Linked DNA regions of Saccharomyces cerevisiae S288C. Changing the gene in region 3 together with the main gene of any one other region gives a genetic interaction. Each region holds a gene or a part of one and is shown on either strand. Other genes may lie near its edges.

Evidence for each region.
Region 1: mutations in SNX4 (region 3) and BSP1 together harm fitness more than expected from each alone (negative genetic interaction), as found in Saccharomyces cerevisiae (2 studies listed by BioGRID).
Region 2: mutations in SNX4 (region 3) and MUP1 together harm fitness more than expected from each alone (negative genetic interaction), as found in Saccharomyces cerevisiae (2 studies listed by BioGRID).
Region 4: of SNX4 (region 3) and SNX3, changing one enhances a phenotype caused by changing the other (phenotypic enhancement), as found in Saccharomyces cerevisiae (2 studies listed by BioGRID, with this or other methods).

What each region holds. Positions count from the first base shown.
Region 1 is NC_001148.4:881,416-886,636, forward strand, and holds BSP1 (Bsp1p), read left to right. Parts: upstream 1-2,412; coding exon 2,413-4,143; downstream 4,144-5,221. Other genes in the region: YPR170W-B (uncharacterized protein), read left to right, coding at 1,824-1,972, 2,072-2,180; YPR172W (pyridoxal 5'-phosphate synthase), read left to right, coding at 4,381-4,983; AAA family ATPase VPS4, read right to left, coding at 5,109-5,221. UniProt on the Saccharomyces cerevisiae protein: Recruits the capping protein complex to actin patches and the actomyosin contractile ring, and/or stabilizes their interaction. May serve as an adapter to link INP52 and INP53 to the cortical actin cytoskeleton. Binds F-actin.
Region 2 is NC_001139.9:596,776-601,958, reverse strand, and holds MUP1 (Mup1p), read right to left. Parts: upstream 2,543-5,183; coding exon 818-2,542; downstream 1-817. Other genes in the region: RSC subunit protein RSC1, read right to left, coding at 1-298; YGR054W (translation initiation factor 2A), read right to left, coding at 3,338-5,183. UniProt on the Saccharomyces cerevisiae protein: High affinity permease for methionine.
Region 3 is NC_001142.9:375,858-380,650, reverse strand, and holds SNX4 (Snx4p), read right to left. Parts: upstream 1,827-4,793; coding exon 555-1,826; downstream 1-554. Other genes in the region: TAD2 (tRNA(adenine34) deaminase), read left to right, coding at 1-402; IRC18 (Irc18p), read right to left, coding at 3,315-3,989. UniProt on the Saccharomyces cerevisiae protein: Sorting nexin, involved in the separation or division of vacuoles throughout the entire life cycle of the cells.
Region 4 is NC_001147.6:1,008,149-1,012,321, forward strand, and holds SNX3 (Snx3p), read right to left. Parts: upstream 1,565-4,173; coding exon 1,076-1,564; downstream 1-1,075. Other genes in the region: CIR2 (electron-transferring-flavoprotein dehydrogenase), read left to right, coding at 1-968; HAP5 (Hap5p), read left to right, coding at 2,013-2,741; VTS1 (Vts1p), read left to right, coding at 3,041-4,173. UniProt on the Saccharomyces cerevisiae protein: Required for retention of late Golgi membrane proteins. Component of the retrieval machinery that functions by direct interaction with the cytosolic tails of certain TGN membrane proteins during the sorting/budding process at the prevacuolar compartment.

The DNA.
Region 1 (5,221 bases), on a different chromosome or scaffold from region 3:
CTCTTAGTTTGGCAACCCAAGACTCGGCATACCATATTGGTAACGCTGTATTGGAGAGATATATTCTAAAATATTGATAATTAATGGCAAAAAGGCAGTATTAATGAAGGTTGAATATGGATCTTAATATAATCGTATAAGAGGGGCATAAAATATACGCCGATTGGTTCAACATTAATTATGATCAATATAACAATGCGTCTGGTAATTACCATAACACTTAATGTAGCAACTCGTATAACAAACGTATCATGCTCAATTAATATAACCTTATCTCTGCTTCAGCACTGTCTGAGCTACTCTTTTAACGTTTCCTTTTGCAATAGGTACCTTCACACTAAAACATATACAATGGGTGCATTTAAATTGTTACCATAGCAACTCATATTACGATTCATTACCACTCATTTCAACACAACAACCTCTTGCTATCAAACTTACTTTTGCTTTTATTGCAGATATCTCGTTATTTCTGCAAAAACAGCATTCATTGGTAATGACAAGGTCAATTTTGGCTTTTATACATTTCACATGTACAGGATAGTGGAACACATTCCAAGGAGGTGAAGAACGTCCCCTTTGATACTTCCATACAAGGACGATTAAAAATACATAAGAGAACAGATCTGCAAAAATGCGTTTTACTTCCTTTACAATCTCAATGCCGATAAATAAGCGCAATGAAGATTACTCAGCAACTGTATGTTGGCTCATGCGAAATATGAATGTTTCATTCGAGATTACTTATCTTGTTTAACGCTTGAACAGCGTACTGTAACTTCTTGCTACAGAATGATGGACCCCATTATAATACTACCGCCTTGCGAATGCGCAATTTATTATGATCATGAACCCTGAGAAATCAAATGAATATTTAAAGTGTATGCAAAATGGACAAGAACATTATGGTAACATTGTCTACGACAGAATTTATTTTCTGACTTTAATAGTGACGGTTATACGAAATTAATGATTCTTCGAGAGGCAACTCACTTTACTGCAAATGGACCTGCAGAGTTTGCATCTAGAGGACAATATGCTGCACAAAAACGACCAATATTTACCTTCAACGAAAACAACCTTAAGAAACCCCTTCAACAACAACGCAGCTATCGTATCGTAGTGGTCTCCATAATGCGTGCACCTCCTTTAGCACTTATCGAGTAATAACATACGCTAGATAAGTAAAGTGTCCAGGATATTATAATTATATGATATTTCGGGAATGGTTTCTATATCTAGTTTTTTAACTTAGCCTAGACATTCGCCTCGTATTATAAAATACATGAAAGTGACTTGACTGCTTCATGAGAGTTATACTAAGAGCATTCATAACTAGAAGACACATTTTAGTTTTTATTACTGAGTAAGGGTTTAGTTTGTACATACAAGGCAACATGAAATTCAAGGTGCTGATGTTCAGTAAAGCCGCCTAGCTTTACGTGCCGAAATATTGATAATATGTCTCAGCCACTTCCTGGCTTAACTATTTAAATGATATTTCTGCATCCATCGGTATGGCGCACAATAAACGGTATCTGAGAATATCGAAAAGAACACCACAATACTACTGAGTGCAAACACAGAAGAGCGTAGGTGATTCAACTAATTGAGTTAGAAACTGCATCAACGCTGCATAATAAAGATGCTGCTGTTCAGGATCATTTTTTTTAAAGACTGAAAAAAATTGCTTATCGCTTTGCACGCGACTCTTTTTTCTATTATTTGAAAAATAGCTTAAGGGAAAAGAAAAGAATAGGTAGCTTTCAAAGCAAGAACCTCTACGATAAAGGACAAAGCTAGAAGCAAACACCGCAAAAAAAATGAGACCCGTTGTATCCACTGGTAAGGCATGGTGTTGTACCGTCCTATCGGCATTTGGTGTAGTAATTCTTTCCGTCATTGCTCATCTCTTCAACACAAACCATGAATCCTTTGTAGGATCAATAAACGATCCTGAAGATGGACCTGCGTATGTTATATTTTCTTATTTATTTCGCCGTTACCCATTTACCATCTCTTATATCTCTCCTCCTTACTAACAATTATATTTTAACCCTATTGTTTATAGTGTTGCACATACTGTTTATTTGGCTGCCTTGGTATACCTCGTGTTTTTCGTATTCTGTGGGTTCCAAGTTTACCTAGCCAGAAGAAAACCTTCGATCGAGTTGCGTTAGTCTTGAAGCCAATAGGATAATACCAAATGCATTAATATCGTCCAACTGTTCTATATACTTATCGTAACCTCGTTCCATGTGACATTCTTTTTTATTACACTTTTCGACAATAGCGAATTGAGTGAAATATTATGAAAGAATATATAGTATAAATATATACATTTATATATGAATTCTAATCAATAAAAGTCACAGTAACCAGCTTTTCCTAGCTTTTCGAAGTTTCGGAAGTATGACAAAATATGAGCGTGACCCTGAATTGGTGAACTTTCTATCGAAAGTGGAGGATTTGAACTCTAAGAGATACAGTAATATTCCTAGTTCAAAACCAGCGGGGGAAGCGCTTTCACCAGTTAGAAGTCACAACTCTGGGGAATACAGAAGGGCTGATATGATGACAGGGAAAAATGTGGAAGGTTGCGACAATTTGGCCTACCGATCTGCGTACAATTATGAAATGACGTTTTCTCCAAAGAAGACTCATTACTCATTAAGTGAGCTGAATCTCGAACGAATAACGCCAAGGCCGGATTTGGAGGGAAGTGCCTCTCAAAAAGAAAAAAAATTTTTAATTTCTGAAGAAGATTATTTATTATTGCAGAAATTGAAAGCCTCTCAAACATATAATGATTCCAATGCTGACAAAAATTTGCCTTCCTTTGAAAAAGGTCCTCGTATGCCCAGTCGGGGTCGACCCAGACCGAGAGAGAAGGAAATAATCACCATCCAATATGATTTTGAATTACCAGGAAGAGCCGATATACCCTCCTCCTCCTCTTCTTCATCACCACCGCCTTTGCCCACAAGGCGTGATCATATCAAAATCACAGATGGGAATGAAGAGAAACCGCTTCTTCCAACAAGGCCTAACAAAGCAGAAGTTACAGAAAGTCCGTCATCAAGGTCAATAAAACCGGATGCTGTGGTACCTGAGCGCGTTAAGCCTGCTCCACCTGTCTCACGCTCTACAAAACCGGCGAGCTTTTTAAGTTCTTTGGAAGATAACAAATTGACAAAGGCGAAGAGTTATAATTCGGAAATGGAAACTCCCAAAACAACTGTAAAAAGTTCTCATATCGATTACTTGGATTCCATACAACTAAAACCAACCACCTTATCTCCTACAATGAAAAATAAACCTAAACCAACCCCTCCTTCTCCACCTGCGAAAAGAATTCCAAGATCTGAAAGTTTTATCAAGTCTATGCTAAACTCGAATCTCACGACAACTTCCAAGCCTTCTTTGCCTGAAAAACCTCAAAAGCTACGGAATGCAAATTTGGCCGCCCATAAGACCAAACCAAGCATACCGCCAAAGAAAGTGGAGTTGAATATAGTATTACCTGAGCTACGTCCCGTAGAAACTTCTCCAACAAAGCAGAACTTCGAAAACTCAATCGATTTGCCCAAGTTACGATCCAGCAACCGTAACATTAAAAAAGAAGAGGAGGACAGTATTCCAGAAGCAATAAAAGGTATACAAAATCTGAAGAAAACCAAACAGCAGAAGCCTGCAATCCCTCAGAAAAAATCATTTCTAACAAATAATTCGAAAAATACTACACTCAAAAATGGTGATGATATTAACAAGTTAAATGACGAAATTGAAGCTCTATCATTGCGGAATAACCTGAAGAAACGGCCACCAACGGCGCCACAACGTAAAATTTCTTTGCCAGAGGCATTGCGAAAAGTCGAATTGATGAAAAAATCTAAAACCGAGCCTGTTTTAGAGTCCTCAAACGAACTGAGCATAAACGCAAAATTAGACGCAATAATTGCCTCTAGAAACTTAAGAGCATCTAATACTCTACCAGAACTTAGCGGTGTTAACACTAATATTGCAACTTCTGACAAGTATACTACTTCTAGAGATGAAACAGTGAAGGAAACTAAACCATTAGTTCACCCGAATAAAAATAGGACTCGTGGTCCCAGAAGAAAACTTCCAACACGCGTGTAACTACAGAGTAGACCTCCGTATTTTACACATGTATGTACGTACATATGATGTAACAATAATATGATAATTTAATGGGATACATGTATTATCGTCACTTCCCACGTTTGCGCTTTGACATTTGCTCCCCTTATGAACCTGAAGGAATATAAATCATCGATCTTTTTGCTACACTTTTCCTCCCTTATTAGAAAATAGCAGTAAAATTACAGGCTATTCAAACCCTGAAACATCTCAATTATGGCTTGGACTAGTACATTACCAGCGCATCTACTGAACCTGATCAAAAACTCCAAATATGTTCACGTGGCCACCTGTTCTAAAGACTGCATCCCTTCAGTGGCATTGATGAACTATATCTATGTGCCAGGTGAAAAACTGTTCGGTCAAACAGATAATAAGAATGACTACATTATATTTGTTTCTCCTCAGGACACACAAAAGTTTTACAACATCAAGGAGAACCCTAAGGTCGCCCTGTTGTTTCACGATTGGATCATCGCGAATAATTTGTCAGTGGGCAAGGAAAGCATCTCTGGGACTCCGACGCCGACTTCTATTCCTCATGAAGAGCAACGTCAAAGCGAGCTTTTAAATTTGTTACAGGAGTTAAATCAAGCCGAATTGAACCAAATGAGCGCATCTATTGGTGGCGAAACCGAAATTGTCAATCCTGAAAGTGAAGAATCCAAGTACTATAAAGATTTAATACTAAAGGCTAATCCTGATGCGAAAGCTTTTATATTTGAAAAGAACACCGCCGTTGTTAAAGTTAGAATTGATAATGCTAGGGTATCCAATAATGAGAACAGAACAATGTTTCTAAGTAAAGGGAAGAGTTAACTGTCCTCTGCTTTTCTTTATCTATTTTGCATACGATTCTGTATTTAATTATTCTGTTTTTTTTTTTTTTTTATTTTTTATTTTCATGTACACAAGAAATCTACATTAGCACGTTAATCAATTGACTAGTTACCTTCTTGACCAAAATCTCTAGTGAACTGTTCTTGCTTCAGCAAGTCATCCTCATTCACGGTAGGTCTCGTCGATTTGATAGCCTTTAAGAAATCCTTTATGGTGA
Region 2 (5,183 bases), on a different chromosome or scaffold from region 3:
GAATGGCATATTTGTAAATTACTGAATCTTTTGCATTGTATGTCATTGCATTCCAAGGAATTTGCGCAAAATCGTTAACAAAATCTTGTGGCGATGTATAATGGGGCAATCGTTTCTTTAAAGTGTTTAAAGATATCGGATTCCTTATTATAATGTAATAGTCTGGATATTCTTTTTTAGGTGGCAGTACATTGAATATTGGATATATTTCTATACCATTTTCATCCTTTAAATGGAAGACAGCATCGTATTGTGTTTTGAGTAGCTTCTGTAAAAACCCATTATCTTGCTCCACCATGCTTGAAATATAATTTTTTTTATCTCTGTTTTGTAGCTAGGGCACTTCACAGATTTTCCCTTCGCTAATACCACACTGTTCCGCCAACTCAGCTTAATTTCAGTTGTAACTCAATTGGGCCTTTGATTAATAAAAAAAAAAGCTTTCCCGAGACAACAATCACTATTGACGGAAAGAGGGTAAGGGAGCAATAAAGAACTATATAAAACGTTAGACAAACGATTTTATAGAGCGCTTATCTGTGTTTATAGCGTTGCTGATAGATTTAGTTAATTCCAATTTGAATCTATCTCATCAGCAATTCATGATATTGCTTTTTCTTAGTATGCTATTTTGATTTCGCGCAATAGTAGGTATAAAAATTGAAAAAATACGAAACGGAATAGCATCTTAAACTATTAAATGGCAGAAATTATAATGAGGTTTGGTACCTATATATTTTGTATAAAGAAAATGCAATTATAAGAATGTTCATACGTGATTATAAGAATCGAGATGAGATGGTAAGTACCTTTTTGGTTACAGCGATTTTTCTTGTTCACTTTTGTAATGTTCGATTATATTCGTTTCAATAACGCCGTCTTCTTGTGTATCGACATCGCCAATAGTGTCATCATAAACTTTGGCAATTTTGACTCTCCAGAACCCATCTTCACCAAGCACATCCTTGGAAACCAATTTGTAGTGGCCCCATCTTGGCAATAATTGGGCCCAAACAACGTAGTAAACACCACCAAAGAAGAAAATACCCCAAGCAATTACACAGTGGATCCAGTATGGCATGCTTGAATACACCGACTCGCCATTTGAAGGTGGAACGTAAGGAGCAATAATCAGGTATAAATTGGATAATGTGAAAAATCCCGTAACAAAAACACCGGCCTTAATTGGTGGGTTCCATTCAATTTTACCTTGTCTACGTTGCCAGTATATCCAAAGCAAACCCGCGCTAATGGCAAAATTAATAATATTCATTGGGTAGGAAATTAAATTTTGGACTAGCAAATATGCATCACCTGGAGGTGGGGCTAAAATGGTTACTGTACAAACAATAAAATGTTGAAACAAACCAACCATTGGGGAGTTGAATGGCTTAGAAGAGGCAAAGAAATTAGAAAAGGGCAACACACCTTCACGTCCTAGTTGTTGAATAATTCTACCCTGAGAAAAAATGACAGAAAGAACATTTCCTAAGGCACTCAACCCGACCAGTGCGGCTGCTGCTCTCTTGGCTTGGCCGCCAAACACAATATCGAAGAAGTCAGCAGCTAAAATCAATTTTGAAGAAATTAACTTATCTTTTGGAACCACAGCGAAGTAAGCAATGTTCACAAAAATGTAGATTATAGCCAAGAAGACCATCGATGTAGGACCAGCAATCTTCAAAGTTCTCACAGGGTTCTTAACTTCACCAAGTGCATAGTTAACATTGGAGTAACCGACAAACGACCAAATAACACTATATAAGGCGTTAACAATACCATAAGCAGTGGCGGTTTCAGTACCTTCAAAAGCATTACGAAAGTTGTGAGATTGATAACCATCTTTGAGACCACCGCCAAGGGCAACCCAACCGGTAATAGAAATGAAGAGGACAATACCAATCTTGAAAATACCTAAAATGTTTTGCAAATATAGACCAATCTTGACATTCAGAGAATTAATTAGGAATGCAAAAAAAACGACGGCCACACCAATACCTCTTTGATTCCATTTGGTCACTTCAGTATCAGCAGCAGTTAAAAACATAATAGCTGTATTGATGGAATTACCAGCAGCCCAACCTAGGAAGAAAATATACGCAGCATACATACAGGTAATGAAGAATTTTGGTTTCCTGAAAATAGCCTCCAGGTAGTTTTTTTCACCACCATTTTTCGGTATAGCCGTACCGAATTCCATGTATACATATAACCCAGAAATGGCAATAATGGCGCCAACTGCCCACATAATTAATGCAAGCCCCACAGACCCACATAGTGTGTAAATGGTCGAGGAAACGGCGAAAACACCGGTACCAAGCATTCTATTACAGATAAGCCCAATACACGACAAAATACCTAACTGCTTTTCACCTTGGTCCAATTCTGTAGCAAATTGCTGGCCTGCCTCAAAATCGGAGGCACCGTTGTCAGCATCCACTGTCGAGTTACTTACTTCCTTTTTTGTAGTAGAAGAAGAAAATTGATAGTTCTCCTTGTTGAAGACATTCAACTGTGACAGAAACGTTCTTCCTTCCGACATTGCTCCGCCTTTGTTTTCTCTTCTCTTGTCTTTAAAGATTTCTACAGAATGTGAAACTAATCCAAAAACAAAATATGATGAACAGCGGAAAAGTTTGTGTGAGAATCATCCTTATATATATATACTGTATGTAATCTTACATCACCATATGAAAATAACGGGCTGACTCAAGAAATTCACCGCCAAGTAGGAGGAACCACATTTGTAATGCAAGACTGTGTTATGTGTTACCATGGTGTGCAATAACTGCGAAGGTAGCACCGCTTGAGTCAACTGTGGCAGTTTATTAGATGCCACTCGAGTGTGGTGAACGGCAATTCCACAGTCTAACTTTTCAGTTGGCGCCGTGCCATCTCCTGGCTGCTAGGCCGATCTGTTATACAAAACCCTACACGGCGCCGTTTCTTTTTTTTTTTTCTTTTTCTGTGGCAAAGCGGCGACAGCGACGCTAAAAAAAACTGTGGTGGCGGATGCAGCGCCGGCTTACGGAGCCGAAGTGACACTCCATATTCATTTATTGCCTGGCGGTATCGTGGCATACATTGTAAGATGCGGCTGGTGGCAATCCGCCAAGAAGAGACGTAAAAATAAGGAAAATGCTCACTAATTATGTATGTATCAATTACTATTTGATGTTAAAAAAATATGTGGAAAAGTACAATAAAACAAGGGAAAAAAAGAAAGGGGGGAGGTTGGCGTAATTCTCCTGGGAAACAGTAAAAAACAATTCAAAGTAGTATTATTTGACGTTGTTAATATTTACACAGTTGTATGGATACATCAGTTTCTTCTAGTTTATTCATCCTTCCAACCCAACTTTTCCAAATCTTTCAACACTTTTTCTTCAGTTTGAATTTTTAGAACTTGCGTATCTTCTAGTTTGTCACCGACGGCCTGTCTTTCCTTCAAGGTTTCAATAGCCCTTAATTTCTTTAGTAAAGATCTTATTTTCTTCTCCTCTGGAGAAGTTTCTTTATTGTTTGTGGGGGCATTTGTGGAGGCAGGAGCAGATGGGGCCGGAGTAGAATCAGGTGACGTTTCACTTGACTTTTTATTGGCTCTTCTTCTCCTGTTCTTGGTGTTGGCGTCCTTGTTGGCACTCATGCCCGGAACTAGCCCTGGGATGGTCTTCTTTGCTGCACCAGGAGGAACTCCGGGGACAATACGTCCACCGCCTGTTCTTCTTGCGTGAGGTGGTTTATAAGCGCCTCCAGCTTTGGCCTTAGATCCGTTTCCATTGGAGCTTGCTTCTCTGCTTGGGTGTTGACTTATGTACTCTTGAACGCTAGAATGTATTTGCAATTCTGATTTATTGGATATTTTAGGATCAAGTGAAGATGTGGTCGAATCAGGTAGCGGTTCCCAGTTATTAATGATATGGTTCTCGAAAAATGCTTCGTCTTTGTTTTCCAAAGTTTTGTAATTACATGGTGACCTCCAGTCTACCTTCAAAAGCTCCTTGAACTCTTTAACAAATACTAAAGAGCCTGATACATGCCATATTTTAACGCCGTTATCCACTCTCAATCTTGGTGAAGTGGTAGCTGTCATGATAAATTCTCCACCCGGTGACCATTTGCAGACAGAAGTGTTGGTAGCGTCAAATTTACTCACACACTTGAATTTGTCGAGACGATCTAGGATTTCCACGGAGCCCTGTAAATTACCAAACCCGGCGATAAGAATGTAATGACCAGAGGGAGAGAAAAGCATGGTATTTTTGGCTTGTTGAGGTAATGAATGGACAACATTACCTCTTAAGTCAAAAAAGGAAATGGTTGCTGGCATGTAACCAGCGATGACACCGAATTGCCTTGAAGTTGGCGACCAAGTGAAATCGTGGACAGGTCCAGTGGTTAAAGAAACACGTACAGAGTTACCACCCAAAGTCCCGTTGACACCTTGGAAAGACAGTAAGTATAGTGTGTTTTCACCATAATATGATTTGTTTGAGGAATCAAAATCAGTAATAGCTAAACATAAAATAGCATTACCTAATGGATTCCATTTCAATTGGCAGGAATCAGCTTTAAAGAAAGTTTTGGAGGCAATTTTCTTGGTGATTTTACCTTCAGAGAGGGCCCATATGATTAATTGAGCCGGTTTACCACCCTTTTCTGGTGTGAAAGTACAAATTGTTGGATGTTCAGCTGGAGAGATTAGGTAGGTGGTGAAATGTTGGGACGTTTCATCATCAGACAAGACAGCAAACGGAGATTGGAAGTCGAAATTGTCGGCATTAGCGGAGCTTAATTTAACAATCTTCAAGTCGTGTTTAAAAAGTCTTAGCCCATAATTGTCTAATTTGGAGAATTGTAAAAACCAACCGCTTTGGGATTTGGCTTGATATTCGTAAGCAGGGACTATATCCTCCGAAACGCAATCTTTCTTAAATGGTTTATTCAAATACCAAACTTTAACGTTCTTGTGATTTGGGTCTTGTATAGACGCTCTCTCCCAAGTGCTTAAGTAGTTACCTGCTGGAGAGAAGTGTAGGTCATAGACGTCGGACAACTTCATTGTTAATAGAACGTTATCCAAACATGGACCTGTAAAAACTTTGACGTTCTCCTTCGTAGATAAAGCCAAAAATCTGCCACATGGCGATAAAACCGAGGAAATGACAGGGAAATCCTTGGAG
Region 3 (4,793 bases):
GTCTTGTCAGTAAATCATGATACGTGTACATTAGTGCCCAAGAACAATAGTGCGGCAGGGTACGAGAGTATACCGGGGATCTTGAGGAAAGAAGCAATAATGCTGCTGAGATACTTTTATGTAAGACAAAATGAAAGGGCGCCAAAGCCACGGTCCAAGAGTGACAGAGTGTTGGATAAAAACACGTTTCCGCCTATGGAATGGTCAAAGTATCTTAATGAAGAAGCATTCATTGAGACTTTTGGTGATGATTACAGGACTTGTTTTGCGAATAAAGTTGACTTGTCCAGTAATAGCGTCGATTGGGATTTGATTGACTCCCACCAAGATAATATAATCCAAGAACTGGAAGAACAATGCAAAATGTTTAAGTTTAATGTACATAAGAAATCTAAGGTTTGACGAAAAAAATCAGAACATCATAAAATAATAGCAACATTTACATATTTTTATATAGATATTTTTCTTTTTTTAAATTTCTCTGTTAAATGTGATCAGATAATCGTAGTGCCCAAGGTATTATCAGTAGTAATGGGAAAACATTAAGAGCACCACTATAGACTATCGTCTACTTTTTCCCATGCTTCAAGTATCCTTTCGTAGAATTCGATATGATGGTCCGCTAGTGAGCCCAGAGATTTCTTGATTTCAGCCGTTTTTACACTTTCGAAATGGTCTATTTCCTTCAAGCATTCCTGTTCGAATCCATCCGCCACCTTTTTAGCGTTTTCTAATTCACCTGTTAATGACGTTATTTTGCCTTCTAGTTTATTGATTTTTTCTCTACGTGAAGCCTCCTGATTTATTCCCGCTAGTTCTTCCAATTTATTGGCAAAGAAATTACTACCTCCGTATCCAGAAATCAAGTTATTTTTTTCTTTGATTGACCTGGTTAAATAATCACTTAGTTCTTCGTAGTCTATCTGTTTCTGGTCTTTCAATTTGATCAGCTGTCGCATACTATCAATGTAGTGTTCAAGATCCTTCAAATCAACAATATATTCGTAATCCAGATACTTTGTAAGATCTTGCAAGCCATATGACAGCTGTGTTACACCTTCATTAAAAATCTTCAACTTCGCAGCAAGTTCCTCGTTTTCGCCTGTGACCAATTCTTGTAATTCCTGTAAATTACTGCCCAACTTTGTATAGTCTTCAGACATCGAATCATTTTTTTTCACAACCTTATGAAAAAGTTTATCTATCTTTGTCACAGTCCGATCTAGTTTATCACTTTTCTCCCTTATCTCAGTGAATTCTTCGTTTTGCTTGTGAACTGTTTTGAAGGCATTCATAAAAGCATCAGTAACTTCATCTTTATTTGGTTGCAAGCTATCCTGGAGGACTTTGCGGTGAGATTCCCAATCTTTACTCACCAAAAAAGTTTTGAAGACTTTTGATTGAGAAAGATCGGGATGCAAAGAGACCCTTCTTAGGAAATTTTGCAAACTATGACATCTCTTTTGTGTAAATCTTTGGCTAAACCTATCGCCTGCTATGTATTGAAAAACTTTCTTATCAGGTAATGGCGGGATGATGCAGGTGGGGAACCTGTTGAGTAAAATATCATGCAGGAGCAATAGGTCACTGTATCTTCTATGTACAACTATAATAGATTCTGGATCGCCACGATTATCATAAAATGACGTGTTGTTAGTCTTTGTTGATATCTGATAACTCACGTAGCCAGATGAAGAGCCTGGGTCACCAGTTCTTTTTTGTGGATCAGAAACAATGATTTCAAACCAATATGGTGGCTTCTCGGGGTTGCCTCTGGCTTTGTCCTTAGCTTTGCTTGTTAAATCGTTCTTGCCTTTGTCTGTCATATCCTCAACAAAAAGAGCAGTATTGTGGTATACCGTAAATAAAGTTTAATAACGGCTTAGCCTACTACCAGAATTTAATCTGTTAATCTTGCGTCGTCACTTCGTTCACGGAAATCCTTGGTGTAATACCTCTCTCAATTCCTTGATACTAAACTATACATCGCTCTTGGGCATTGCCACCCCTTTCAAGCTGGAGGGCGAATACCCGGCAGGACCCTGTGAGCGCGGCATAGATTTTTGAACTGTTATTCTGAACTATAAACAATTAAAGGAGAAAAAATACAATATCTCAGTATTGCATATAGATTTTATAGGGTGTTTGATCGTACGCAAAGGGTGGCTTGCTTATAACAATACCAGGTTATTCTTGTGAATTAAAAAAACAAAAAATTGATTTCGCCCAGGATCGAACTGGGGACGTTCTGCGTGTTAAGCAGATGCCATAACCGACTAGACCACGAAACCTATTAATTTATGAAAGCTTGGGCTTTCAGCAGAAATTAATCGATTGTAAAGTTACCGTATCAAACTTATAATAATAAAGATGTATAAAACGCGAATGAAATAATAGTAACGGGAGAGACAAGATTGAGTATATAATTCAATAATTGCTTGCTTAAATGAAGCAGTTAAACCTGTAAATACCTGAGCAATCGGTTTAGACATGGGACTCCTCGCTTCACCAGATCTTATGTATAATATAGGATAAGTAACGATGTGCGAACAAGCCGACAATAAGTCTGACAACTATTACTCTCCTAACGATAGAATTGCCAAGACATCCGGTATTATTTAAGCCCTTAATACAACAAAAATTAGTAACGTAGTTTATGTCAACTAATTGTCCAAGATTGAAATTTGTTTAGAATAAATCAAGTGTCAGCTTGAGAAACTGACGAATATTAGTAACAAAAGGCACTACTAAATGGATTATATTGGAAGTTCATTCGCACACATCTATTGCCTATTATTACGTGTATATTACCTTATGTGGTACAAAAAGATGATAGATGTGATGAGATGCTGTCTCTGAAATTGAACCAAGTTGAGACGTAAAATTAATAATGTAAAACGAAAAACGAAAAAAATGAATAACATGTATATTGCCGATTCCGCTTAGTAGGTTCCGATAGGCTCGAGAGATCTAGTATGTTCCGTATATCTAATAATAGGACCTTCGTCAACAATGGAAACCCAACAACTGTCAGAAAATTGGCATAATCATCAGTTATTCTAGTAATATTTACTAGTCAGTGGGTGTTAATTGATTTTTATTCCAACGAAAGGGTGGGTATGTTTGAAAGTTTAATTGTTAATTAATACTTCAAAAATGCTTACCCATGGCAGTTACAGAATAGTTAGGTGTAATAAGAAGCAGAAATGCAAATATAAGAATGTCGTTAAAACACTATATATATGTATATATATACAACGATCTGAGATTAAACAATGTACAGGAGTGGCAAAAACAAAATCGGCAACATTTTCCTAAGTCAGAGCTTGGTATATAATGGTGAGCCAAATAAGAAATCCGACGCCTCCAATGCTGGCCGAGACTAAGCATAGACTAGTTGTCACTGTTATACATAAATCAACCACACCTTGTGCCAGACCAGCCTCTATCGTTGTTGCAGCGACTACTCTACTGATCCGTGAGAGCACCTCCTTCTTTTTCTTTTGTTCCTCTGTCAATTCCCCGCCCTTCTTGGCAACCAGATCATACTTATTCAAGAGGCTTTCAAATTTCTTTGTTGAAACGGTCTTGAATTTTTTTATGTACTTGAACGGAGATATATTTACTGCTCGGTTTAGGCCCTTAGTTAGCTTCCCTGTTTCTGTTTCAAATGTGTTATTGCCAACAGTTTCCATTTGGATTTCCCTTGTTAGCATATTCACCTTGTTATTCAATATACCATTTAAACCCTTTAGAATAAAAGAGTGGTTACCATACATATCTTTAACTTCCTCTATTTGTCTCTCGATTCCAGATATTTTTTCATCAACACAGACAGAACTCTGCGAGTAAGCAGCCAAGACCCTTAATGAGTTGACCAGTTTGGTTCCGGTACTTTCGAATTCAACCACTGCTCTACTACTTGCTAATACAACGGTAAGCAAACACAACTGGATCAGAAAAATCCTTTCTATCATTTGTACTTTCATCTTATAGTTTTGTGACTATGGCTGTGATTATGATTTTTATTGGAAAAGCAAAAAAAGTACTGTAGAGACAATTAGAGATATATGACCCATAAAAGAGAAGTTAAATGATCGAAGAGTATACAACTCTATAATGTAATCTGTATTAAAAAAGATTTTCAGAAAGGTTTAATATTGATCTTCATTTGGGAGGAAAACAAGAGATTTACTTCGAGCAATTTTGGAATATAAAAATGATTTACTTTATGTTCGATAGAAAACCCTAGAGTGATTTTGTGTCTCTTCTAAACGCACCCTGTGGTAAAAAATAAAGGAAAAAAATGATTTCAAATATGACTAGGTTGTGGCGCCAATGATCAAGTTTTTTTTTTTATGAATTCTTTTTTGTGGTCACAACGACAAATTATTATCACCGATTTAGTGTCATTTTTTTTCATTTCTCTTAAGACTCGTGTACCCTTTTCCAAAGGCAAAGGCCCTGCGAAAAACAAAGTAGAAGGGAAAAAAATTACTAAGATACAGTGTAAGCTATGCTATGTATTCAATCCCCCTTTTTGTGGTTTTCTCATTCAAGCAGCTAATTATAGGGCTACGCATTGCCGCAGAAAAGGCACCTATGGTGAATGTTGTTGCAATCGGCTTAAATAATTGTGAAAATATGGAAGATATGTCTTGCAGAGATTAGTTTGAAAAAGTACTACAAAAATAATTTTTATACTCAATTATACTACTATCCAATACATAAATATTTATTATCTTGGGATAAAAATAAAAGAATTATTTTTTTTGCTTTTTTAAAGACTATAA
Region 4 (4,173 bases), on a different chromosome or scaffold from region 3:
ATTTTGGTGATGGGCTGGTCACTGTGGGCCTTGTCGTGGGGTTAGATTATAAGAATCCCTATGTTTCACCTTACAAAGAGTTTCAAAAGATGAAACATCATCCATACTATTCAAAAGTTTTAGAAGGAGGTAAGTGTATCGCTTATGCTGCAAGAGCATTGAATGAAGGTGGACTGCAATCTGTACCCAAGTTGAATTTCCCTGGTGGTGTTTTGGTAGGGGCTAGCGCGGGTTTCATGAACGTTCCAAAGATCAAGGGTACTCATACTGCGATGAAGAGTGGATTACTTGCCGCTGAAAGTATCTTTGAGTCCATAAAAGGGTTACCTGTCTTAGAAGAGGTTGAAGACGAAGACGCCAAAATGGCTATGTTTGATAAGGAGGCAACTATTAACTTGGAATCATATGAAAGTGCATTCAAAGAATCATCGATATATAAGGAACTATACGAAGTGCGTAATATTAGACCGTCCTTCAGCGGGAAACTTGGTGGATATGGTGGTATGATCTACTCTGGAATCGATTCTTTGATATTGAAGGGAAAAGTTCCGTGGACACTGAAATTTGATGAAAAAAATGACGGTGAAATTTTGGAACCTGCTTCCAAGTACAAACCGATAGAATACCCCAAGCCTGATGGTGTGATATCCTTTGATATATTGACCTCCGTGTCTAGAACCGGAACCTACCATGATGATGATGAACCATGTCACTTGAGGGTTCCTGGACAAGATATGGTAAAGTACGCCGAGAGAAGCTTTCCCGTTTGGAAAGGTGTTGAATCGAGGTTCTGCCCAGCAGGTGTCTACGAATTCGTCAAAGATGAAAAATCGCCTGTGGGTACGAGACTGCAAATCAATTCACAAAATTGTATCCATTGCAAGACCTGTGATATTAAGGCGCCCAGACAAGATATTACTTGGAAAGTACCCGAAGGTGGAGATGGACCAAAGTACACGCTAACTTAATCACAGGATTCATTATTTATTTAATTATTTTATTCATTATTTATTTAAATTTTTCTATTCATTCTTTTATATAATCTATATTATTTATTCACGTAAAAGAGTTCTTTTCAGCCGACAAACTTTTCAGCTTCAATGAACCTCACGAGAACTTTAGAACCAGATTGTAAAAGCGGGTGCCCGGCTACCGATTGCATCCAGGTATTCAAACCTTGTCTCCTCTCTTCAATGACTTCGTTACTAAATCTATTACTCAAGAGAATTTTACCCGGTAAATGAGGTACCATGACTTTTGGGTGATTAAGCATAGAAATTTCCTTGATCAAGCATTTGCGGAAGAATTCAAAGTCTGAGTATCGTCTCCTTACTTTCGATACCCTCTTGTGAAAACTTGGCAAGTTTGTACGGCATATTATTTCGTAATCTGTAAACATCCCCTTCGAATCCATCCCATTTGGTATATGAGTTTTAGGGTTGTGCACCTCAATCTCTAAAAAGTTCTCAGGCTCAGCGTATATTTCGCTGTAACTAGGCTCTCCATGTCCTTTTGACAGCAAAGACTTTTCTGTAGACCCAAAGGATTTGAATTCTCTTGGCATACTTTGTGTAGATGCGTACCGCTTCTCAGCTGTTCTTGCCGTCCTCTTTTATGCAGTATTAAGATCCGTTTTAATCCATTCATTCATTGCAGGTTTACATATCAATACATATCACTTAGTACGTGATAGTGCCCAAAGCTATCCTCGAGTTCACTTATGCAATTCTGAGCACCCCATAGCCAAGTCCTCATAGTAAATCATGGTCCCTCCTAGCGCAATACTTACTAGAGTGTAGAAATCCCGAAATGTCAAAATCGAAGAGTGTTGTGCTCCCTTTTCCGTAGTTAAACTTAAATTTGCGTGGGACGGCTCCCTTAAGATTGCTTCCGGAGATTAAGCTTCCTTAGCTGCTATAATACCGCGTAAGCAAAGAAGAAGAATAGAGGGGAATAGGAGATAATGTAAGAGTTGTGACGCATTTGCAGCATCAGGATTGTTTACTCGCATAATGACTGATAGGAATTTCTCACCACAACAAGGACAAGGACCTCAAGAATCGCTCCCGGAGGGACCGCAACCCAGTACGATGATTCAGAGAGAGGAAATGAATATGCCAAGGCAATATTCAGAACAGCAACAACTGCAAGAAAACGAAGGGGAAGGGGAAAATACGAGGCTACCTGTTTCTGAGGAAGAGTTCCGGATGGTACAGGAGTTGCAAGCTATCCAGGCGGGCCATGACCAAGCTAATCTACCGCCAAGTGGTCGAGGATCGCTTGAAGGCGAAGATAATGGAAACAGCGACGGCGCAGACGGAGAAATGGACGAGGACGATGAAGAGTATGATGTGTTTAGGAACGTTGGTCAGGGATTGGTGGGCCACTACAAGGAGATAATGATCCGTTATTGGCAAGAATTAATCAACGAGATCGAGTCTACGAATGAACCTGGTTCCGAGCATCAAGATGACTTCAAATCACATTCCTTACCATTTGCGAGAATCCGCAAGGTCATGAAGACGGATGAAGATGTCAAGATGATTAGTGCAGAGGCCCCCATCATTTTCGCCAAAGCCTGTGAGATCTTTATTACAGAACTGACTATGAGAGCTTGGTGCGTGGCAGAAAGGAATAAAAGACGAACTTTGCAGAAGGCAGATATCGCAGAGGCCCTGCAAAAGAGTGACATGTTTGACTTTCTCATCGATGTTGTGCCTAGAAGACCTCTTCCACAATGAGAGAGTTAATGGTTATACAGCTGCCATTTGACCGTGCACCACAGCAAATTATCTGTTGGAAAAAGAAAAAACGCAAATTTTTTTCATTATTTTTTTCCAGAATAAGTTTGGTAGCAAATTGGCGATGAGATATCTAACAACGACTACTACTACTACCATAGGATTGTCTCGAATACATTGTGTTTTGCAGTCACACTGGTACTTCGTCCCTTGGGCAATCTAGATCACTGTATATACTATAGATATTGTTTTCAGAAGAGAAAAACTGTTCATATAAAGTAATTGTCAGCAAAGAAATCATGAAACATCCGTATGAGGAATTCCCCACAGGTTCCAAGTCACCATATAACATGTCTAGAGGAGCTCATCCAGGCGCCGTTTTGCTATCACCACAATCTTCTGCCATAAACAAGAACAATCCGGGCAGCAATTCTGGCAATAACCAGGGCAATTCATCCGTGACCGCGAATGTTTTGTCCCCTCAATCCCATAGTATGTCACTCAATGACATGCTTGATCAGCAATCCTTTATGCTAGACACTGCGGGAACCAGGGCTCAGCCGCTCCAGCAACAACAGCAGCAGCAACAACAGCAACAGCAGGCGTCGTTGCCTTCCCTTAATATTCAAACAGTTTCGTCTACAGCAGCTGGTTCTGCTATCGTTTCCCCCATGATGCAATCTCCAAAGGCGTTGCAATCTACTTTATCTTCAACATCTATGTATTTGGATTCATTTCAGAGATCTCCAAATAATATTTTGGGTATTCCATCGCAGAGTGGTTCAATTCCTTTGCCGCAATCCCGTCAATCGCAACAACAGTCTCAATCCCAAAAAAACGATCCGAACATGGGCACCAATTTCAGCCAAGACATCAACCAATTATGTTCTTGGATATCCATGCTGAACAGCAGCCAACAAAATACTGTAATGGACAATATCCTTTCCATTTTGAATGATGATGTTTTGAAATATACTAAGTTAAAAATAGAGACTTTGACAAACACTCCCTTCATCTCCCCACCGCTACCTGCAATTGCATCACCTATACCTAATAGGGATGACACACAAATTTTGAATATTGATTCAGTCTTTTCTTCAAGTCCTATAACTAATGACCCTGAAAATACCGATAACTTGTTGTATCAAAATTGGTCCCCTCAGCCACATTCAATACCAATTAGCCAACCCATATATGACAACATCACCGACGCTAGTCAAAGGTCCAAGTCGGCTGAGCCTCATGTTAATTCAAGCCCAAATCTCATTCCTGTCCAGAAACAATTCAACAACGGTAACAGTACCAAATATAAAAAGTTGCCATCAGAGAATCCCAACTATCTTTCTCACTCTCTCTCAAGTTCCCATTCTTTTTTCCAACCAAAGAAAAGGTCTAACATGGGAAATGAGTACAATTCTCATCACCATCATTC